2 linked regions of the Oryzias latipes genome follow. The protein of the gene in region 2 purifies or fractionates together with the protein of the main gene of each other region. This does not show direct contact. Links are inferred from orthologs where the notes say so. Each region holds a gene or a part of one and is shown on either strand. Other genes may lie near its edges. The genes, in order: timmdc1 and acad9.

Region 1 (12,932 bases), on a different chromosome or scaffold from region 2:
CCTCCAAAGTGCCTTTTATTTCCATTACTGTCAATGTATTGTTCTGGTTTTTTTACAATATCATCCAACAATTTATAAAAACCTTTGTACTATTTTAAGATAACACAAGTTTCAGTGACTTATAGCTCCTAAAATCCTTTTTTTTCTTTTTTCCCCAGAGGAGATATTCAGTCAGATCCAGATTTGAACTCGAGTCCGTCGGGATCAGAAGAAGTCCACGCCGTTCATCAAGTCCCACCTTCGGCGGCGCTGGACGCTGCCTTCTCCTCGTTCTTTGGTAAACTCAGCAGCTCCTGCATCCTCTGAATGTCTCTGCGTAGTTCTTCCTCCTGAGCGGCGCCGTCCAGACTGGAAATCAGCTCGTCCGTCATCTCCAGACGCGCCGTCCTGATCGGGACATTTCAAAAGTGTTTATTCATCAGGTGTTTGATGGAATTTTTCAACCAAATTTGGATCCATTTATGTTTTTCTCCACACAAAGATATTTGTTTTAACCTTCAGGAGCCTTAAATGCAGAGAAATGTCAGATTTGTCTCTGATCCTCACTGGATCAAACGGGGAACGTGTGCGATGGCGCCTTACCATTCAGCCAGCTTGTGTTCGTACAGCTCTCGCCGCTCTCTCCTCCTCCTCTGTCGAAAGGTTTCTCCCGTCAGAGACTGCAGGCCGATGACCAGAGCACCGACGGGAATCCTGCAGGGAAACCAGTTCACTGAGCAGCAGCAGTGTTTTTTTTAACGGTGACGACATGGAGGCGAGCGGTGAAGCGTGACGCTCTTTACTCCTTTCTCTGCCCTGGATGTTCGCACACGTCTAACGCTCCAGGTGGGCGGTCACTCAGACGAACGCTGATGAAGAGGAGGGGGGCCAACAGAGACTGAATCTGCAGCTCAGAGCAGAACTGGAGGCTTTAGGACTCGTGATGGTTCACATGTGGGGAGCCAGCTGAGGCCGTGGCCCTCCCCCCTCCGCTGCACACGACTCCCCCTGGCGCTGAGAAATGACCCGGGAGTTTGGGAAGGGGGGGGGGAGGGGGTCAGCTCAGCTGGCTAGCAGAGGGTCGCTGGGAGGGGAGCAGCTGGCTGCCAGATCGCTCGCCGCAATCAGGAAGAGACGCAGGTTTTCTGCCAACGACGTTCAACTGCAACGAGGCGGGTCGACTCAGTCTAACTCACCCCAGAACCGCTCCGATGACGCTCCCCGCCACCAGCCCTCGAAGACCCAGGTTCAGCCGGAAGAGGCCAACGGTAGCAGCTTCTCAACGTGAAGAAATAAAGAGAAGTTAGCGAAGGAACAGTCAGCAATAAGACATCGTTTTACTGTTTCTTTATTATATCTTCTGCCATTTTTTTTAAATCATTCAACATTTATTCATTTATTAAAATGTTCAGCTCTTTCTAGCTATGACTTCTGGTCCTTCAAATCCTTGAACTTTTCAAGATATTCCAGGATTTTTGCCTCCATTGAAACACATGGGGAAACTCGCTGGTTCGATACCCGGCGCTGGCATTTTTCACTAAAATATCTTTTTTGTTGTTCAGCTGTTTTCACTTTGTCACCTTTAATCATTTCTTTATTTTATTTTTTCTGTGCCAATTATTACCCTTTAAGATTTGATTTTCATTCAGCAATATATCACTCAACCCTGCATTTTTAGCAGTGCAACAAAAAGTGGCGAGCAACATTGGAGCTATCCAGCCGTCCAGTTTGGACATTTTCAAGTGGATGAATGGAGTGGAGCACTGATTTGAATAAAATAAAACTTAGAAATGTAATTTTAAGCTAAATTTTCTGTACACACCATCCCAATAAAAGCACTACAAAAACATGTTAAAAAACACTGTTTTCATTGGAGCGGGTCTTTAAAGTTTAGAAAGAGCAGGAAGCTTCTGCTCCGACAGTCCTCACCTCCTGCTGCAACGTAGTGGCTGAGGGCGTCTTTGTCTCGGTACACGGACAAGCCGGTGCTGACCGAACTGCAGCGGGAGACAAGACCAACAACACTCAGAAAATTGTCCCAGACCTTCTGAACCTTTAACCAAAAACAAACAGTTTATGTAAAAAAAAAAATCTGTATTTTTGTCCTGGCTGTCAGATGTTTTTGTGGGAGGGGCCTACAGCCTAACTGTAGACTAACAAGACACACTTTCTCTAAAATGTAAAGTCAATTAACGAAATGTTCTAAATGCAGCCTCTGAAGGGATAAAGAATGGGCACAAAGGACAGAACATGAGTTTAATTTGAAGCCAGAGTCTCTCCAGACCACACGTGTCCCCGTTTGAATCTTAAAACCTCACGTTGGCGGATCATCTCCCGGCGGCTCACCTGAACAAAGTGACGATCAGAGAAACTCTCCAGCTCCACCTCCATCCGTAACGCACAAACGCACGGATGGCTGCGTTATGAGAAGAGCGCTACAGAAAAAGGAATAAAAAACAAAAAGCAGACGTTAAAACTATTTTTGTGGAACATTTAAAGTGTATCGTACAAATTCTGCATCATGTGGTCAACATTAGTTTTAGACTGAAACATTGAATTATCTTCATTTTGGTCGGAAATGAATGAAAAAAAAGACAAGAAAATGACAAAGAACGCAACATTTTTTGAATCTGGTACGTCTTAATGTACTGATTTGTTTTTGTCACTCTTCCCACACAAAGATCCAATTGGTTTCAACGGCATTTAAACTCACCATCTAGCAGAGAAAACATCTTTAAAAACATCAAAATAATATCTTTATTGTTTTTTTTAAACCACAAAAACTTTTAAAGTGACAACGAGAACGTAAACATCAACCATGGCGGACGATGCTGCTGAGACCAGTCAGTGGAAGGGAAGCGATGTCCCCGATTGGATTAATATTTGGGGTGACAGCTCTATTTAGGCCAAACTCAAGGGCTCTTATCGCAACCAGGCGGTTTTTGAAAAACTTTCCAGTGAAATGGCCGAGCGTGGTGTTGAACCTTTCCCACAATGACTTTTTTTTTTCCCTTTCCGACTGTGGTCAGAAGCGCAGGGGACCGAAGGCGGATCCTCCTCCGGGGTTCACCTCCCTGTTCGGACCCTCAGATTCTCCAGAGCGGGTTAATAAAGAGTCAATAGCATTTATCCTGGGGGAAGCCTTATTTTATTACCGTTCTCCTTCCTTCGTAACACACAAAATGAATGCGCGGCCCCCCGATTCTCTACCTCGCTGCACACGCTCTCTCTTACACACACACACGGCCCCAGCACATTCACATCCCCATTCCACAACAGTGGGTACAGACGATCCTGGCTCCAATGCCTTCTCAAAATAAGAAGATCGTAATTGTGCTGCTCCTTTTTGAAAATTAATTTATTAATGCAAAAAGAGCTCCGCTGTTGACAACACTGTTGTTGACATCCATTGTTAACGTTAGCTACTTCGGCAGACAACAAGTGACGTCGTTCACCGTTGACTCTTCTACGCATGCGAGTCACTTCTGGGTCATTCCACAGTCACACAGGAGATCACAAAAATTCGGATTTAATTGGAAATGTGAACGGCCTTGCAAAAAAAAAATCGGAATTGAGCATAAGGCCCTGCAGTGTGAACGTAGACCTTGTGTCACTTTTAAGGTCCAACTTTTTTTTTGCAGCCAGTACCTGTTTTTATATTTTTCCCCCTTGTTTTGTTTCATGTCAGACTGTTTCAATGTTGTTCTAGTATCAGACAATGGAAAAGGAAACAAATAAAAAGTGATTTTTAAACAAAAAAGAATACTATGTGCGTTTCTTCTGAATGTCCTCTATGGCTGGAAGTGAAGCCCCTGTGACGCGTCACCTCCCGCTAAAGCAGGGGGCCTCGAGGGCCGGTGTCCTCATTTGCTGCCGATTACCTGGATCAGGTGTGTTTAGCCAATAAGGAGCTTCAATGTAGGACAGCGGCCCTCGAGGCCTGGATTTGGGGACCCCTGCGCTATAGATGCTTCCGCTCTGCAGCAGAGCAGCTCCCATCCCAAAAACTGTCACACAGCTGCGAAGGATCCGCTCTACTGTGCGGCGGGAAAAGCTCACCAGAAAGAGGTGGCTCTTTTAGAGGAGCCTTAAAAGAACAGCTGCTGCTGAGCCTTGATATTGTCTGGGTCACGTGAGCCTCTTTTCTCCTCCTTGAAGTCCACAATGAGTTGACTTGTTGCTGTTGAGAACCAGGTTGTTGCACCACTTGGCCTGATGTTGAATTATGATTATTTTTGCCAAAAATCAAAAAACCTTTCTTGTTTTCTGTAGTCTGAGACGTGGGCGGGACCGTTGGCCCGGGACACACCCGCCGCCCCCTTTTCCCCTCCTTGTTCATGAGAGCTCAGAAGAGGGAGCTCGTGGCTCGCCCAGAGTATTTTTTACGTCACAAAACTGCTCTTTTTCAAACTGCATTTTTTCATCTGCTCCTTATTTACAAAGATTTGAATAAAGAAATACTTAGAAATGCTACTTTAAGCTTATATATGTCCTCTATCATGAGGAAACATGTCATAAGAACATGTTCAACACACCATTTGCACCAGAGAGGGTCTGTAAATGTTCTCATAGCTCTGCAAAAGCTAATAAAGTCAATTGTCTTATCAAATATTAAAGTTTAGAAAATAAAAGCCTACTGATCGGGAACATCAACCTACCACTGCATCCACTCGGCTGGTGTACAACTCCGCCTGGCTCACTTGGATATAACGCTGGCGGGCGAAGCGAGCAGCTGGGATGCCTCCGTAGAGGAGGCCGGCGGTGGCGCCGATGATCCCGTGCTTGATCAGGTTGGTCAGCTCCTCCGGGTAAGATTGTACGTCACTGCAGGGAGACCCACAAGTTTGACACCCGAGACGTTCAGAAGGGGTTACAATGCGTCTGATTTACATTTATTTCATTTATCATTTATGTAATTGATGCTGAAGATGTGTTTAAAATGTTAAAAGGTGTTTATTAAACAGATGTGAGGAAAGAAAAGGAGACAAACTTTCTGTCAAACAGATCCCTGATGCGCCCCCATCCTGTGTCGGGAAGTTCTGGCTTCCTAATGTTAGCTGGCAGGGTGCTGGTCGAGGAAGAGGAGGAGGAGGAGGAGCACGTCTGTGCATGCTGGCCAGCAGTCATGTCAGCTGCATGGACCCTCGGGAGCAGGCAGCAGACAAAAAAACGAGGCCTCGCAGTCCGGATGGAGCCCCGCGGCGGGCCGGTGCTCGCCGCGCCCTGGGGAGGCGAATCTGCCCGCCGTCTGAGCGGCTGATCTGGACGCATCGCACTTCAGCTGGCGCCAGGCTTCAGTGGGGATTCACAAACACATGGTTGTGGGCTGAAAGGCTGCACTCTCAGAACAAACAGCTGGGGGGCAAACAAAACGCTGGCAGGAACACACACGGCGTCCAAAACTCAGCAGCTGGAAAAGGCGGCGGCCAAAACACTCAAGAGTAAAGAGGCTGAAACCTCACGCTATCCGCTTAAAAGGTAAACATTAAAAAGATCTATTGAATTTGGTTCATTCTACTCTGCTTTTTAGCAGAGTAAAAACATATTTTACATTGAATAAGTAAAACATAAAATTATCATTCATAAAATAAATAAGAAAAGCAGCCATACAAATCATTCCTTATATCTGTATTGAAGATTTTAAAATAAATAATCAAAATAAACAAAAATAAATGCCCTCTGTTTTCATGCTTTAGCAAATATACCCATAGTAAAAGAAAAAATTACAGCAAAAACAAAATTTGGGTGAAAAAACTGTTTTCCTGAAGTAAATCCTATGATGAAAATTTAACATTTAGATCTGAAGAGTCCACACCGCATCAAAGAAAATAAGTAATAAGACAAAAAACATTTTCTTTAAAATGCAGAAAATTACCCTTTTACAGAATATCAACTGAAAAGGGGAAAAAACTGAACATTCAAGGATGCATGAAGCTTCAAATGGCTGGCAACGGTTCAAATTAAACAGGGACCTCTGGTGGCCAAATGGGGTAACAGCAACCTCTTACATGTTGATTTTAATTCTGTGATTTGGTTCAATTCAGCCAAATTCATCAATAAGATTTAAAAATAAAAAATGAAATAAATAACTATATATCAGATCTATTTAGAATATTAAAACATAATTTGGTTTAAAAATAATTAAAATATATTTTTGACATAATAGTTCCTAAAAGGAGGTGAAAAGATTCCAGAGTAAACAAATAAAATAACTGTATTAGTAAAAACTGTAATTATAATTAGCACAAATTGAGCAATTTTCACTTGATTTTGTAAAGGTTTCAGAAAACCGAGCAGGAGCCTCGTTTAGTCATTATTTTAAAGTTAGTGACATTTGAAAAGGTTGCATTTAAAGCAAGAATTATGGATTATTTTATGGTTTTTAGAGGGGAAAAAAAGAAAGTTGATTTTCACATCATTAAAGATTAATTTGAGTCGCCCCAAACGTCTCTGAAGACATTAAAATATTTGAATTTATTGTTTTAATTGACAGAAATGAATGATACTATGATGTTTTTACAATATCTGCCTTAATAAAGTAAACAGGTGATTTTCACTAATATATCTGGGCATTATCTTTACCTGAGTTCCTGCTTTAAGAAACACCTGAAACTAATACTGACCAATCAGCTCAGTGTTTGTACTGGAGCAGGAAAACATGAAGGCTAAGAATCTATGAAACTAAGAGGGAAACCAAATTACTAAAAAGAAGAACATTTAACACTGCCAGCTAATCAACTTGTATCCATTTTGGCTGTTTTCTTTATTTTCAGCCAGTGTAGTATTACAAACTGACCTATTTTTTCTATTTCCACATTTTATTAGCTTAATTACTTCCGTTGCCCAAGTATTTTTGGAGAAAAAGCTCCAAAATGTTTCACCTAAAATTAGTCAAAAAGGGTTTATGAGGTTTAACTCCAATTTGTTACATTTTATATCCAAAAAATAAATAGAAAAGGCTCCTCAAACGAACGACAAAACCACAAACTAACATTTAATTAAGTTAAAATGCCTCGGAAATGTTGAATTGATTTTTAAATTAGTTTTAATAGAGCTAATTGTTAGCATTTGCTAGCATTGGCTGGCATTTATTTAACTCTTAGTTTCAGCATTAAAGAGAATCTTACCAGTAGCGGCTACAATTGAAATCCCGCCACAAAGGGGCGTTAGTCTTTGTAAATTACAAACTATAATTTAAACACATTAATGTGTTTGTCTTTCCATAACCTTCCTTCAGGGGTTCACTCATTCCACTCAGAGCTGGCAGGCAGAACCCACATCTGCGCATGTCTGCTGTCATGCGCACTTCAATCGTGGCCAGCGCCCCCTGCGGCTAGGAGGACTAAGTATAAAATAAACTGGAGAAATCAATCAGTTTTCATACGTGGCAGCAAAAATGAAATAAAAAGAAAATACCTGCATAGACTTTTATGATAAAACGTGTTTTAATCAGTTTGATATCAAAGTATGAAATGCTTTTGAATTATTTATTGAAAACTCTGCTAAAAACCGCCGTGATGTTGAAATCAGTACACAAACCTGAAAAAATTAAACAAGTTCCTGCAGTAGGAAAACTATAGATCTAAATACTAAGTTCTTTTGAGTTAATTGTAAACCGAAAAGTATTATTTTAGTCACTTTTAAATAAAAAAAACCCAACACGAATTAGCTTTTTAGGTCAGGTCAGAATGAAACTTGCTGCTGTCTTTGCTAGTGTTTCAACTCTAGATAGCTTTAACAATTAATTCCTATTAAAATTGAGCTCTTTAATAAGAAAAAAAAAGAATAATATACACGGTTGTTTATTTTTATAACTGATTTAATAGACTTTTTCTAGACTTTTCTACTTTTGTAAAATAGAACTTTGTGGGAAGTGCAAATTGACTTTAATACAATTTCAAGCACAACGGAAGATTTCATACTAACTTTAGGTCCAGATTATATATAACCTATTATTTATAGATTTTTTATTTCTGTCGGTAACGTCTTTTGACCGTTTAAGAAGGATAAATGGCTTGTTATAAACTAAAAGCTCAATGATGTTTTTTTAAACTCATGTATGATGTTTAATGGCTACATACATGGCTGCCATGAAGCACAAAGATAACTGAGCGAGTGAAAAAAAAATGCAGCTTCATTCGGAAAATGAAAAAAGCGTTTATGGTTTTGACTTTTATTTTTAATGATGCTACACAAATGCTTCCATACTTTAGCAAACCTCACAACCGCGCAAGCGCAATGCTGACCGAGCGACCCCGCATCGACTGAGCGGCGCTCCTGCGCACAGTGTTCAGGGGGCGGTAACCTTTCTGGTTGATCCGATTGGCCGAAATTTGCATCTAAAATACGGCGGACTTTGTTAGAATTAAAAAAACCTGCAGATGTAACGTGGATTAGCATGTTTTTGTGGTAATCCTTGTTTCCGCAGAAACTCAGCTGCTTCTTCTTGACTTGTCAGAGTTTATCAGCTTCCTCCATGGATTCATTCATCTTGAATTCCCATGATGCTCCGCGTAGCTGATAGCTCGCAGTTTCAACTGCACTTCATAATCGTGTCTCTTTGCAGTATTTTCAGGGTACCTGCACCTTTGTACTATTCGGGGGGGGGGGGGGGGTCTTCTTTCACGTCCTCACTTCCCTTCTTCCGGTTCTCATGCTGTCCTCTCCTACGTCCTCATTATCAGAGTCACGCAACAAGACATTAGGGCCGCTCCATAGGGCGCTCTGAACAAAATCTAAGACTTAAGTGTTCCATATAGCCGTGAAAGTACGGTATATAGAAAATATGATTCATTTAAACGTTTCTTTATTAAGTGTAAAACCAAAATAAATCAAGTTCTACTGGTTTGATAATTAGGAAAAACATATGGGATGAGAATTTAAGCTTTAAAAACAAAAAAAGAGGTTTACAGACAAAGGAACTGCAGGGAAAAAAAGTCAAAGATAATCAGACAAACAAAGTTTCATCAACGAATACAGTTATTTAAAAAAAACTAAACAAAACTAACGAAAAAGATCCTGAACATAGAGTTTTGGGAAATAAAAACAGTGGCGGTTACATTCATCCGTCTCCCGCCTAAGCTGCCCCCGGTTCGTCTGAGTTTCTTCCTCACAGCTCAGTTTTCCGCGATTTGTGGACGATCTGACTGTAGTTTTTCCTTCTGCTGGGTCTGTAGGTAAGAAGGTGGCTGAAGTTGGTCAGCAGTTGCTCCCAGTAACAAGAGACGTCTTCCATGCGGAGGTGCTGGAGGATGAACTCCTGACCTCTGAGGACGATGAGGAGAATAAAAAATAATAATAATAATAATGGTGAAACCACAATACCATCAGGAAGTGATCAGAACTCAAACATCTGTAGTCGCTGCGTCTGCTGCAAACGTCTTTTTTAGTTGTGTGGAGGCTTTGAAAACTCAGACAAACAGTGAAGGGTTACCTCTCTGCGATTTCTTGTGCCACATCATCGTTCTCTTTGACGAACTGTAAAAGTCCTCTGAAAGTAAAAAAAAATATTATTAAGAATCCGACGAAAAGGTAAAAAATAAAATAAAATCTTTCGGAGCTTCTCGTACCGAACGTCTGACAGATCCTGCTTGACTGGGATGTAGTGGACCCACGGCTTGAGCTGAGGGTAGAAGAACTCCTGCCACTCTTCCCCGACGTGGAAGACCAGGGAGCCGCAGAGGAAGAGGTGTTTGAGGCGGAAGCTGGCCGCCACGCCGCGAAAGTTGAACAAATATCTGTCGGAGAAGTTCATAGGTGGTTGGATGCACCAGAGCTGCGGGGGATTGGATGTCGGGCGTGCAGCTTACTTGTATTTGCAGTGATCCAACAGGGGGATCTCTGCAGCTGGAGGTCTTCCCAGTGTATCCTGTCAAAGACAAACAACAATCAAATCCCACCCCTGTGCCAATTATTTCTGACTTCCAGCCCCCCTCCAGCAGACCTTCTCTGACTTCCAGGCCTGGTTCTTGGTGTACTCTGCATCCACCAGCTCTGGATCCTCTCTGGACAGGAGGATGAGCGGATCGCGCTCCGAGCTGGTTCTACAACACAAAGGTTCTTAGTGAGGTCATCCAGAACTCTGGAAAGACTAAATGTTTTATACAGGTTAAAAAAAAACAAGGATTTCTTGGGCAAAACCTGCTAAAACTAGCACGATTTTCCGAGACGCCACCTCGGAAAACTGTATCTGTATTATCTCACTAGCCCCTACAAAAACCTTTTTTGTTGTTGTTTTTCTAAAAAATATTGTTTCAAATGACATCACCCAGTAAAACCTAATAAAAAAAAACATTTTACAAAAACTATTAATGAACATGTGATGCTCTGATGATGAAAACCTGGGATTTTTTTTTTTAATCAATGTAATGTTTTCTTTTCCAAATGATAAATCGTAACAATGCAATGCATTTCTGTCTATGAGCATCATTGCACACTGGTTTTTCGCAGAGACTTCTGGGAAATTTTCAGGGCACTGGATTTTGGAATTGTAGATTCAATAACCCCGGAAAAAAATGCTATATAGTAAAATAAGTTTTATTAGGGAATTTGGACACAGCTGTAGTTTTCTTTCTAAAACAGAACGAGGAAATCTAGTGGCCAAATGAGGCAACAGCAACCTCAGAAAAATATTTTGTGTTGTATTAACATAGAAAAACAAAGTTTTATTAATCTGTTGTGTTTGATAAGGTTGGGTATCGCCATAAAAAATATTATAATTTCAATTAGTTTAAGATTTTATCAAATACATTTTAATTTTTTTAAAGGATTTATTATTTCAAGGCAACTTTAGTTTGGTAGTAAAACCGCTTTTCTTTTAATAAAAAAAAAGTTCTTTCTGCAAAAAACAACATTTTACCAACGTAGGTAAACTCTATTGTAGTTTTTTGTTTAATTTGTTTAATTAACTTTTTCTTGAATCTGTTTTTTCCCAGAAAACATGTGAAAAGTGGACCGGATTTGATTTGTAAAAAGTCCCAAATGACCCGTTAGCTTGACCCACCTGGAGCCTCTGAAGAATCCTTTGGGCTCCTTTTTTTTCCAGGGCCATTGAGCTGCAGACCTGTCGACACAAGAAGAGAAATTTCACAAACGTTTAAATAACATTCGCAGCTACCAGGATGTCCGCACTGCCGCTCCATCTTACTTTTTAAGATCCGTCCTCATCAGGTCCCACCTCCCCAGTCCGGTGGGGTATATGGGCCACACAGCGGGGCCACCTTCCCAAAACGTCCAAGCGGGATACATGATGTCCTGGTACTCGGCAGTCTGTTCAGTCCGAGCAAACGCGGGTTATCAAAAGAGGTTTAGAGGCATGAAGAAGCCCCCCGTCATGATCCTGACCTTACTGAAAGAGAGGACCGGCAGGGCGGGGCTCATCCAGTTCGGCACCTGAGGGTAATCCCTCACGTTTACCACCATCTCCAGGTCCGGCAGACGGTCAATCACCTCCAGGATGAAATGCTCCACGCCGCTGCACCTAAAAAAAAACCAGACGAACCAATCAGCATGTGCTGACGTTTGGCGTCCAGATCAAAGGCAAAGCGGGTTCCTGTGGGTGCACCTTGCAGGGAACATGCAGTTCTGCTCTCTGTACAGCTTGTGTTGGATGATCTGGTAGTGGGTGCCCATGCCTCGCTGAACCGTGGAAGCCATGAGGCTTTCTGAGATCCCACCTCTGAAAGGCTGCAAGTCCTGTTGGAGAACGCTGAAATCAAGAGCTGCTGGTTAGTTTTGTGAAAATGTTGGATCTGCAGGCAGACCGGAAAGAAAAAAAAAAAAAAACTCACCTCAGATGACAGCTGCAGTTGACAGAGCTACACGAGACGTAGCTCCCGACCGCTGCAGAAACACGATCGCGGGTTTTCTTCCACTTTTGGGCTGAAGAAGACGTTCAGACGTAAATTTGTGTTGTTGTTTTTACACCTATTTTTCTTTTTGCAACAAATTTTGCAATGGCTGAGCAAAAAAACAAACAAAAAAAACTGAACAGAATCGATCAAAAGACCATATTTTTACAATAAAAATTAACCATTAAGCCTTTTAGCATCATCTAGGATACTCAGTTAGCTAAAAGGCTATTAGCAAAGTTAATCATCCAAAAGTTGTGATTTTTTTCATGTTCTTTCAACTTTAAATGGTCTTCCTTTAGTTTGTAAACTATATTAATAAGAAATGGGAGAAACCTGTTGTCACATGATCCTTTACTTTTACGTTGCTCAAAGGTCATGACCACTTATACATACGACTTTAATCCTTAAACGTTAAATAAAAATCTTGTTTATTTCAAAATTTCATAGCATTCATCATAATGGAGCCAAAGTTGGAACGTTTGCTTTCGTTGTACAAATTAGATTATTTTTCAATAAAGTAAATAGGGACGAGCTTAAAGCAAGCCCCTTAACGGCTAAACCGAGTAATTTATTTCAAACTAGTTATTTGTAAAAAGTTTTTTTTTTAACAAAATGGCCCAATTAATAAAAAGTAAAACATCTTTTTTTAAGCTACATTTGGTAGAAAACTACTAACAAAAATGTAACGTTTTTTTTTCAGGGGGGACTTGCGTCGCCCCGAGCTGCAAAATGACCAAACACGCCCCTGCAGACGAACATTCCGGCTTCATCAAAAAGCTTCAAAATAAGAGCTTAAACTGACCTTTTACAATAAAACAGGCAAATAATAAAATACTAGTAAATCTTAGATAAACTTTTTTTTGTCTCGTTGTAACCAACTTTAGAAGTGAAATGGTTGGGATTACACTGATTTGTGCTAAACTCCTGTCGGCAAAGCAGGTCTGGTTCACTGAATAAACACACTCGTGTAGTTACAATTTCACTATGTTCATTCATAAAATCAATCCCAGCCTCCATAAAAGTTAGCACTCAGCCTCAGCTCAGCTCGGCTTAGCCCCCCAGCATTTTAGCCATTTAGCATTAAGTTTCTTTAAGACGTGC
Region 2 (11,317 bases):
AAGAGGACCAGATACTTGAACTGGTGGAGGCCTTTAGGATGAGTGGCTGGAGGGCACATTGTGAGCCATTTGAAGTGGGCTGCAGGGGTTTCCCAGGGCAATCCCTGCACTGAGTACTCAAGCTCCTGGGTATTCGAGGGTTGCAGGAGAGAAAAGCCACCAAAACCATCAGTGAGGCAGCAGAAAGAGCTTCTAGGTGGCTGTGGATCAAAAGGGCAGATTTGTGGTGTAGCGCTCCTCGGACACAAGCTGGGGACTGATCACCCCAGGCTAGGTCGCCCAGGTGAGGGTGTATGATGATCTAAGACCCAAAACACCCCGAGACCCTGGGTTCATCACTGAGGATGTGTCCGAGCTGCACCAGTTGGTGTATTTAGTTACACATGGACATACTACCGCTAACATAGTACAGGGCGACAGTGGCTCAGGTGGTTGAGCGGGTCGTCCAATGATCGAAGGGTTGGCGGTTCAATCCCCGCTCCCACCAGCCAAAATGTCGTTGTGTCCTTGGGTAAGACACTTCACCCTCCGTGGCTCCACTGGTGTGTGAATGTGTATGAATGTCCCGGTGATGGTCAGAGGGGCCATAGGCGCGAAATGGCAGCCACGCCTCTGTCAGTCTGCCCCAGGGCAGCTGTGGCTACAACCGTAGCTTACCATCACCAAGTATGAATGAGGAGTGAATGAATAATGGACACAATGTAAGCGCTTTGGGTGTCTTGAAAAGCGCAGATAAATCCAATCCATTATTATTATTAACATTCACACACGCTTACTTATGCATTCAGACTAACACGTGTGAAACATTTCATTCAGTCACGCAAACTGTTTGCGCAAAAGTGAGATAGCACCTGTGCTCAAGTCAGTGTTTATGTTCTTCTGGGGTGGATGATGGAACGTAAAAAGAGGGAGAGAACCCAGCCGCCCCCCTACCAAGGGCCCCACTGCAGCAGCAGCGGCAGCCGGGACCCCCCAACACCCGCACAGTACAGAAGATAGAGAAGCACCTCCTGCCGGGCAACCACATCCGCCACCCCGAGCAGGGCCAGCGGGACCGCCACAGCGGCCCCCAATGCCAGAGAGCAGGGGGGCGCAGGGGGTAGAGAGTGCAAGCACCAGCCCACCCTGTAGAGCAGCCTCCCCAGCGCACCCAGGGGGCACAACGAGGGGCCCGCCTCAGGGGGGCACCCCAAGCCCCAGACAGGCGGCCCACCACCTCCCAGGAGTCCTGAGCATCCCTCCGCCCCAGGAACGAGGCAGGGCCCCCCAGGGAAGACCCGCCCCCACGCTCCAGGCAGCCCCCCCCAGGCCACGGTCAGTCCAGGAGAGAGCAAGGCAGGGAGCGGCCACCCCGCCCGGGAGAAGAATGCCCAAGAGGATCAAGGGTCCCCAAGGGGTGCTATAAATATGGCCCGACCAGGCTTACCCGCAGTTGGAAAATACGAAGAAGGCCGGCGCCCAGGGGCCAGGACCAGAACCCATGCCACTGGGACACGGACACCCCCGGCTCAGATGTGATATGATCCCCGGCTCCCGGTCTTGCCAGAGAGCTCAGGGATTCCTCTCCCTGCGTGGAGAGAGGGCCGCCGGGCCCAGGAAGCCAGCACCCCAAGGACAGGGCCGCCGTGACAGAGGGCCCCGGTTCCCTCCACCAGGGTTAGGCCGGGGGACAGAAGATCAGAACTCTCTAACAATCAACTCTAGGCCGCAGCTGCGCTGCGCGCTCCCGTCATAGAGACGGTATGCAAGAAGGAAGGCGGGGGATGGGGGGGACTTTATGAGATCATAAATAAATTATAGATGTTTATGAATGGATTGAGGTTTTTTGGATGATTTTTACTGTTGGTGTTACACACAATTAGGGAAATGCCAAATAATTTTGGAGTAATCCCATTCATGAGTTCTATGATTTAGTTTTTAATGTTTTTTAAGACCTCAAAATGATATCCACAATAACAGTTTTTTTTTTTTAGATCCAATGCTTCTGATCTGTTTCACAAAGACACACACAGGACGTCACACACCAAGAAATGAACTGATTGATAAAAATGATGGAGGACTCCATCTCTAAAAAATTATAAGAGCAAAGAAAACAGAAAGACATGATTTCTTTTTCTTATTAATATTTCCAGGCTTTGTTTATTTTGTTTTGCGTGTTCATATTTGTATATTTTTGAGAGAATATATTTTTATGGAGAGCAAAATATTATACGTTATTAAAGGTTTAACTTGAGTTATTCTGGAGTTATGTTCCTGTCTGTTTTTAATTCATATTTATGTTCAATGATTTACGTTTTAAATGTTTAAAAGGTGTAAAAGTTTAGCTTTAGTATGTTCAGTAAATGTTTATGTTCTTCGGCCCAAAACCTAAAGCGTGTTACAAGTCTAGAAAATTCATGCATTTTTGTGTAAAATGACCAAATAAAAGATAGGGAACACAGGGGTGGGGGGTGGGGTGTTACTCGCCCAGGGAGTAAGTTAGTATAGAATAGAATAGAATATCATTATTTCTATAGCACTTTTCCCAGAACGAATCACAAAGTGCTTTAAAGAAAGCATAAAATCCTCTAAAAACACAAAAAGTAATAAAATACAATAATAATAATAATAAAACAAAACACAGTAAAACGTAGAAAAACAAGGACTAAAATTAACTAAAAGCTCTCCTGAATAAAAACTTCTTGACCTGAGATTTAAAACACACAAGGAGTCGATATTGACGCAACAACAGAGGGAGGGAGTTCCAAAGATGAGGAGCAACAGCTTGAAATGACAGCTCTCCTCTAGTTAGTGTAGAACCACCACTGGTTACTACTAAAGGGTATTTCAGGCCGGGTGTGTATTTGAAAGTTGTTTTAGCTTTGGATATTAATTAATTTTAGGCACTATGTTATGCATTTCCCTGTAAAGGCAAATAAATGAACGAATAAAACATTTAACAAGTTGCAGCTGGTTCTGTTTGTGCGTGTTGACTCAACAAGTAAAGGTTTGTGTCACACCTCACTCCTACAAACACCTGACGGAGCTAAATACAAATTTGTGCTAAATTCACCTGGAGTAATTGCTAATGTAGTATTAGTAATGAACTGTTTTACGGTTGTAATATATGAAAGCATATGTGTCTCATAATTCAAAATAAAGGTCAATACCAGAAATGCTTTTTCATTTAAACAGGTTAAAACCACATTTGCTGGCAGACAAATAGATGCATTAAGGGGAGAGACTGTTAAGAAAGGGATGATGGGATATCACCAGAGGCTTCCTTCCGTGCTTACAGTCCCGCCCACAACTCAGACCTCCTATCGTGCTACACAAAATATGTCCAAGAAAATGAGAGGTTTTTCATTTTGCTTAAAAACTGCATAAAGACCATTGGGGACAATTTACAACAGATCAAAAATATGAGTGGGACTTTAAATGATCCAGAAGCCTAAGTAGGGTCATTCACAGAGAATTTTGCTCTCAAATGTACAATTAAAAAATTCTTTAATGTTACATCATTTGAATCATACATTAAGTTACAATATTAAATCCATCTACAGATGTGAGAACCCTTTAGACGGTATGAATGCTTCGTTAGCTTGATGATGGGATTTTTTTTCTTTCCTTGTATAGCTCATGATGCTGGCTGTGGACTGGTGTTTTATCAGGCAGGATTGAGCAGAGATCCAATTAGATTTTTCTTGTACAAACATAAGGACACTCAAAGCTGTCCAATATTTAAGAGTTCATTAGAAATCTGTTCCATCCTCAAACTTCTCAATTTAGGGCACAAAAGGTTACAGACACTTGGGTCAGATTGATGGCTTTTTCTTGTTCCCAAACTCTGATCCATGTTAAAAACAGCTCGTCCACTGAATCATAGTAAAACAGTCATGTATGAAGAGCATCTGGGTGCAGATGGAGTGAAACAGCAGCTCTGCGGTGCAGGAACTTCAGAACGTCCTCTCCAGGGGGTGGGAGCAGATGTAGGCTCTGTTCTGCAGGACGTTCTGGGCGATCTTCTTGATGTTGGCGTCATTGTTCTCCGGAGAGTCTGGAATAGATTTACATGGGAGTTACAGAAAGCACTCTCACTTCTGGAGTGTGAGGTTCACGTCTGCGGTGAGCTCGGCATGAAACAAACATCAGAAGAAGAGGGAACAGAGAGGAGCCAGGGGTGGAGGAAAACCCACAACACATGGGAGTCTTTTACAGCTGGGGCCTGTTCTCAATTACAGCTTCATGTTTGACTCACGTTTCTCCAGCTGAACCATCCAGTAGTTGTTTTTGAAATAGGCGTCGCTGCAAAAAGTGTTTGCGAGGAGCACCTGGAAAACAAACAAAGCAGCAGAGTGAAAATGGAGAGAAAGGCAAAGTCTGCAGCTGCATGACAGCAAAGATTCTCAGAAGCAGGCGAGGAGATCAGAGGTCTGCAGGTGAGGACACTTCAGGACGGGCTGGCATGGTCTCCATGGTGCCTCCTCCCTGACACACAAACATCTGCTGACTTTCAACACTCACAACTCCCTAAATTCGGGTTTCTTACCCACAGCACCCCCTAGTGTCCACCTCAATAATAGTTACTGAGCACAAATACTTTTAGGTTCAGTTTATTTGTTAAAGCACTACCCAGAAGACTATTATAATCTATTTTTTTCCAGATCATTCCACAAAGACCAGATTGTAAAACTGTAGTTTAAGAACTCTGAACACCAGGTTAATGGAAGACTCTTCAGTGTAATCCTCAATCACCAAGTAATCTCACAGCTTCATTCTAGAGCAGGTTTTCTGCACAGTGAATCAGTTGTCTCACAGTTCCACACAGTTCTCTGAGCATGCCCAGTGGGGGTTAGCTCCACTAGCTTCCTATGATCCTGTGTGGAAAGTAGTTTGCTTCTAACTCTGCGTTTGTGGTGTGCATACCTCGTGGTCGTGGTTCCTGAGGCCGATGCTGATGGAGCGGCTGGCTCTGGAAAGGACGGCGGTCATGGCATATAGGTTGATCATCACATCTGCAACTTTCTTCAGGATGAGCTGCTCGTCCACGATAGTCTGAGGAAAAATGAATCCAGATCAGTCACGTCATGGCTCAAAGCTTCAGCAGAAACCCTCATCCCTGCAGAGCAGATTAAACCCTTGAAAGGCTTCATTTAGATCAGTGTTACCTTTCCATATCTGTACAGCAGACCCTCCACTGTTGTTCCAAAAAGGTGGACGTTCTGCTCAAATTTCTTTGCACTTTCCTTCAAACAAAAAGCAAAAATGACAGAGGAGTGGATGGACTGCAAGATCACACCAACATGCCACAGGGGGAGACTTTACCTCCAGGCTGGGGTGCACCACACCGTCCTTCCCCGTCAGACCCAAGTCCACGGAGCCTCCATAGAAGTTCCTCATTTTCTTACCAAACATGCCCATGACCGTACCGATGTTTCCTTTCTTCATCTCCCTGCAGACAAAAAGCAGGGCTGGAGCTGCGTTCGTTTCTGATGGCTGCAGTTTCTGCACCCATCGGTTAGAAGACGTACTTGATTTTCCCTGTGAGGACTTTGCCGGCGTGCTGCATCCCTGTGAGGGCGACGTACATCCTCAGGATCTCGTTCGTGCCCTGCAGACACACACAGAAAGATAAGAAGGACCAGCCTGCTCTGTGTGGAAGTATGTGTCAAATAAAGCAACATAAAAAGAGAAAACTACATATGATGATGTAAACAGCTGAAACTTCGCTGACAGATGAGGAGATTGCAGTCTTGATGGGGAAACACTTTTGAGGCATTTATTAATAATTTCCACTTTATCGCACCAGATGTCAACGACATCCCTACAGCTGATGATTCCTGCTGATGACATGCGCCTGACGTCTTCAGCTGGGGGAAGCGGAGCCACTACAATCCAGTGACCCACAGTTTCAAGCACAGATGTAGTTTACATGTAACTGAAGAAACAAGGTCTGAATTCCCTCACTACTCACTATATGGTGCGTTAGCATTTTGTATTACAAAATAATAATTCAAAATCCTAGAAATTTCCCAGAAGTCTCTGTGAAAACTAGTGGGCATTGTTGCATTAAAACTAGGGCTCTAGTCCTGCACTATATCATATTTTATGGGTTAGGGAGAAGTGAGGAAATTCAGACATAGCCTAGGTGTTTGACATGTTTTGCTGAATATTTGAGACATCAAAACTAATACTGGTAGTTCCCAGTTTGGTTTTTACTGTGTGGTCTCTTGCACGATCTCCATCAGCTTCACAGCACTGAGAGCTTAATTGCATTAATAGTCATTGCATAAGAACCTAATGACTGATAGAAAATGCCTGTTAAAAGTGGTGATAAAATGTTCGTGTGATTCATGACTGAATTGCTGTAATATTTTATTTTTTTGTCGCCAAATGTCTAATTTAGCAGTCCTTGTACAGGTTTGCTCACTGCGCACGGAAGCAATGTCTCCAGCATATATTTTTCCTACACCAGTGTTTACATTAAGCTTTGTAAATGGCGATGTCCACCTGCGTTCCTTAACTTTTTTGCGTGTAGAAACTGACATAAATAAGGCTTCTGGTCAGCTCTGAGGCCCCAGTTTCTCCTGAGATTCGGGGAAATCCTGATGTTCAGCTTGGACAGTTTTTAGTACAGGACACCCAGAGGCTGCACTGATCGGATCCTGAACAGTGACACCTGCATACTGCAGCCCTGCCTCATCTTTACCTCAAAGATGGGTAGGATGCGGCAGTCCCTGACGAAGCGCTCATACGGGTAGTTCTTGGTGTAACCCAGACCTCCGAGGACCTGCAGAGCCTCGCTGACGCAGATCCAGCCTCCCTCTGAGCTGAACACCTGCGCGGCACAGAGACATCAGGGTGGGGCTCAAGCCTAGCACGAAATAGAGCACAGGAGGGGGGAGGCTGCATCTACCTTGACCATGGCAGCTTCCAGAGAACAATCTGGAACTCCAGGTCTATCCATCATTCCTGCAGTCAGGTAAGCCATGCTCTCCATCACAAAGGCATTGATGGCCATCAAGGCAAACTTCTCCTGCAGAAACACATGAGGACTTTTTAGCTTGGGTGTTAGCTGCTTTATTACAGTGAGGAGGCTGACAGCATACCTGGATCAGGCCAAACTCACTAAGGCTTTTGTTAAACTGCTTCCTGGTGGCGGCGTACTCAGAGGCCATCTCTGCGGAGAGAATATATAGAAATGCAGAGACTTCGAAAAGCACCACAACCTTCAGAGAATATCTGCTTACCGATCAGCTTTTTGATCATTCCGGCACAGGAGCTGCCCATGCTGAACCTTCCAGAGTTCAGGATGTTCATGGCGATCTGTTCATCACAAAGCTCCCATTAATGACCGACAAACACCTTCAACTGGTCAGGCTGCAGAGCAGGGCACAGTTTACCTTGAATCCTCCTCCAATCTCACCAATTACATTCTCCACCGGCACCGGCACATTGTCAAAGGACACCTCACAAGCTGGAAGTAGAACCAAAGCTCAGCTTCACAGACCCGACAAAGCTTGGAGTCCAACTCCGCCCCACTTACTGTTGGATCCCCGGATGCCCAGCTTGTCCTCTGGCTTGCCGCTGGTTATCCCCCCAAAAGCCCTCTCAACAATAAAGGCTGAGATTTTGTCTTTTTTGACTCCGTCCACCTCCACCTCAGTGCGAGCGAACACTGTCATGATGTCCGCCATCCCTCCGTTTGAGATCCAGAACTGACAGACAAAAGAGGAAGCTCAACACACCTACATGTAAAAAAAACAAACACGTGCACCCATGTGAGCGTCCACCGTCTCACCTTGGAACCGTTGATCAGGTAATGTTTTCCATCTTCAGACAGGGTAGCTCGAGTCTGAATGGAGGCCGCATCACTCCCACTGTAACACCAGATAACAGTCAGCCACGTGCACACAAACGTGCACTGTCATGTGCACAGACAATTCAGTGTTCTATTCCCTGAGTGCATAAAACTGTAATGTTTGTTTTGGGAAATTCAGACATGAAAAAAATTGTTTAAACTTTTATTTTGAAAATTTAAGTTAAAATGATGTTAATCGTTTGATCCAGACTCTTCCTAACAGGGTGACAAAGAAAAAATAGAAAGACGCTAAAGTGTTTTGTTGTAGAGGAAAGATTATTAAGATATACGACTACTTTCCTTCGAAATAAAAGCCTGTGTACTTTCAGTGAGATAAAAAGATGTGTGTGGGGGGGGGGGGGGGGGGGGGGCTGTGTGTACATGCATTCTCTCTGTTACTGCTGGCAGATATTCCCGTGCTCCATCACCTCTTTGCTGTCGGGCTGTGAGCAGAAACACGAATGAAGCTCCACAGAAAGGTTGGATGCTTTTACCTCCCAGGCTCTGTCAGGCAGAAGGCTGCCACGTGCTCTCCTGATGCCAGCTTGGGTAGATACTTCTTCTTCTGAGCCTCCGTTCCCGCCAACAGAATGCCCTGAAATTCCGGTCAACAAAGTCAGAGAGTTTCCAGCAGTAGTCCGGGGTTGCTCAGTAGAATCCCAGGGAGCTCAGACATGTCATCTTAACGTCTGAAAAGGCATTTGGGTGAAACTTTGCTTCAGAGCTGCACCTTCACCTTCAATCCGATGGCTTGATGAGCAGCCAGAGTCACAGCGATGGAACCATCTAAGGCGATGATCTCGTTCAGACGGGCGTAGGTGGTGTTGGACAATCCCAGACCACCTAAAGGGAAGGAATACAGCACGGACGTGTAAACATCAGGAGTTCAGAGAAATTCCAATGGCTGTACTGAACAGGACAAACCTGTTACCTTTGTGTAACTACACCATTTAATTCACATTCAAATTTATTTATAGAACACTTTTCCTGCTAGCCAACACCTAAAAGTGCTTTACATAAAATTAAGAAATAATAAAAATACTAGTAAAAATACTAACCATAATTGAAAAAAAAACACACATTCTACAAAAACATCCAATTAAATCAAATCAAAACATAAGGAAATATGAAAAAAAAACAAAATAAAGAAAAGCTAAATAGATGAATTTTGAGTTTTTTTTAAAAAAAAAACTCCACAGTGGGTGAAGCCCTCAAATTCTGAGGCAGGCCTCTCCACAGGCTTCGCCGAGGAATTTTGTTCAGACCTGTGGAACCCAGCTGACCTACACCTGACCACCTGAGGGCTCTGGGAGGGTAAAACACTAAATGCAATCAGGACAGAAATGAAGGTCCAATTACATTAAGACTGTTAAAGACTAACAAAAGAATCTTAAGATTGATCCTAAAGGTAACTGGGAGCCAGTGCAAAGAAGTAATGTGCTTTTTCTTTTGTGGTCCATGAAGCTGAGTTCTGAACAATCTGCAGCTGATTAATAGCATTTTTCTTATTTGGCAGAAAGAACGAGATTACAATGATCTATTCTAGATGTTATAATATTTCATCCTGGTGCAGGTCAAGAATTTTGTGTCCTTAGACAACTTTTTGGTCTTGGTCATAGTAGAGTTTGGAGAGTGACTGTTTGAGGTTGTGGACAGGTGTCTTTTATGGAGATAAGTTCAAACAGTTGCCACTAATACAGGTAAAGAGTGGAGGACAGAGGATCCTCTTACAGAAGAAATTGCAGGTCTGTGAGAGCCAGAAATCTTGCTTGTTTTTAGGTGACCAAATACTTCTTTACCACCATAATTTGCAAATAAATTCTTTAGAAAATCAGACAATGTGATTTTCTGGATTTTCTTTCTCATTTTGTCTCTCAAAGTTGATGTAAAACAATGAAGAAAATTACAGGCTTCCCTCATCTTTTTAAGTGGGAGGACTTGTGCAATTGGTGACTGATTCATTACTTTATTGCCCCACTGTAACTATGAATGTTTATGCCATGTCTCCTGATGACATCACCAAGCGGAAGCAAGGTTAAAAAGTGTGGGACCAAGGACGGAGCCTTGTGGCACACCACGTCATACTTTGGCTGTCAGGTGACAATAAAATCTTTTCCTGTGAGGGAATATTCAAACCAGCTAAAGACTTCCAGTAATTCCAGCCATGTGATGTAGTCCGTTTAAAAGAATTGAGTGATCAATTGTGTCAAAGGTTACGCAGGTCCAACAAAAGTAAAATTGAAGGGGTTTTTTTATGTCAACATTGGACTCGAGATCATTTATGACCTTGACAGCCAATGACTGTCCATCAATTAAAAAAAGGTTGAAGAAAGAGTCAAGTTACTTGTGACTTCCTGCAGCTGACAGATGATGTGTGGAGGAACAGATTTTGGAGTTTGTCAGTTCACAAACAAGAACTGTTCTTCGACTGTCTATGCTGGTGTAAACATTTGGCCCCTGAAGATGACTCTTGTGTGGGTAGAGCTACAAGCTCCCCCCAGCTGTTTTCATTGTGGCTTTTCCGAAAGATCCCGTCAGGTGTGCACTCAAACGCCACGCTGCGCTCTCACCGTACTCCTCTGGAACCATGATGCCGAACAGGCCCAGCTCCTTCAGGCCCTTCATAGTCTCCGCGGGGATCCGGGCTTCCTGATCGATCATCGCCGAGTCAACTGAGGACATTTACCAATTAAAAATCTGGCAGACGCCAGGGTTTAACGTTCAGAGCAGTGGCAGCGTCTTACCCTCCTCACTGAAAAACTTCTCCACTGGAGCAACAAACTGATTCAGCTCCTCCAGCTCCTCATTACTGATTTCTGGATAAGGGAAGACCTCAGCCTGGGGAACAGAACACCAAGTAACGTTAAAGTAAAAGCACAGATGAGGTTCAATTGCTTCCAGACCAGGAGCTTCGACATAAACATTGGAGAAAGCCTCTCTTTCAGCAGCAGCTTAGGGTAGGTCAGACAGAAACATCCAGAGCTCCACTTCTGCTGCAGAAGACATGTCTGCAGCCAGGAACAAAGAATTTTGCCGTCTAACTTAAACTTGGCTTCCTGGTAGATCATTTTCTTGAGAAAGAAAATGACACTCATCATCAGCAGAGACCCAAACAGAACCACAGACGTGTCTGGACAGAGCCACAGGACAGCAGACCCACCGAATACAGTTTTTCAACTAAACCCAACCAACCCGCCCTCTTACTTTGTTGACTTGACCCAGGAACAGGTCTTTGGCGTACGCCAGGCTTCTGCTGTGAGTTTTAAAGCTCCTGCGGGGTTGGACGTGCCGGGGAAGAAGGGTCCGTTTGGCGGGAAGACCAAGCAGCTGCTGACCCGCAGAACCGAACCTGGACCAGACTACGAACCGACTCATATTGTTCTCTGACGGTGACAGTACATGAACGAGTTATGGAACTGTGTACAGCACCTTTCACCCGTTTCTGGCTCATATTGATGACGTAAATACTTAGAGTCG

What was found.
Region 1: the proteins of acad9 (region 2) and timmdc1 purify together in Homo sapiens (affinity purification with mass spectrometry; 3 studies listed by BioGRID and IntAct, counting the BioPlex papers as one, with this or other methods). This does not show direct contact. The link is inferred for Oryzias latipes from reciprocal best matches to the Homo sapiens genes ACAD9 and TIMMDC1.

Annotation. Positions count from the first base shown.
Region 1 is NC_019860.2:16,685,219-16,698,150, forward strand, and holds the start of timmdc1 (complex I assembly factor TIMMDC1, mitochondrial), read right to left. Parts: upstream 7,272-12,932; 5' UTR 7,107-7,271; intron 5,272-7,106; 5' UTR 5,251-5,271; coding exon 4,970-5,250; intron 4,804-4,969; coding exon 4,638-4,803; intron 2,415-4,637; coding exon 2,326-2,414; intron 1,977-2,325; coding exon 1,909-1,976; intron 1,255-1,908; coding exon 1,176-1,254; intron 694-1,175; coding exon 583-693; intron 388-582; coding exon 228-387; 3' UTR 1-227. Other genes in the region: poglut1 (protein O-glucosyltransferase 1), read right to left, coding at 9,089-9,245, 9,413-9,469, 9,549-9,716, 9,789-9,847, 9,923-10,022, 10,982-11,041, 11,126-11,247, 11,323-11,458 and 2 more.
Region 2 is NC_019863.2:25,293,310-25,304,626, reverse strand, and holds acad9 (acyl-CoA dehydrogenase family member 9, mitochondrial), read right to left. Parts: upstream 11,296-11,317; 5' UTR 11,216-11,295; coding exon 11,045-11,215; intron 10,679-11,044; coding exon 10,585-10,678; intron 10,513-10,584; coding exon 10,411-10,512; intron 8,684-10,410; coding exon 8,577-8,683; intron 8,436-8,576; coding exon 8,335-8,435; intron 7,860-8,334; coding exon 7,781-7,859; intron 7,698-7,780; coding exon 7,526-7,697; intron 7,457-7,525; coding exon 7,383-7,456; intron 7,306-7,382; coding exon 7,230-7,305; intron 7,160-7,229; coding exon 7,089-7,159; intron 7,016-7,088; coding exon 6,896-7,015; intron 6,818-6,895; coding exon 6,689-6,817; intron 5,591-6,688; coding exon 5,511-5,590; intron 5,432-5,510; coding exon 5,305-5,431; intron 5,226-5,304; coding exon 5,148-5,225; intron 5,035-5,147; coding exon 4,906-5,034; intron 4,311-4,905; coding exon 4,238-4,310; intron 4,037-4,237; coding exon 3,936-4,036; 3' UTR 3,470-3,935; downstream 1-3,469. UniProt on the Homo sapiens protein: As part of the MCIA complex, primarily participates in the assembly of the mitochondrial complex I and therefore plays a role in oxidative phosphorylation.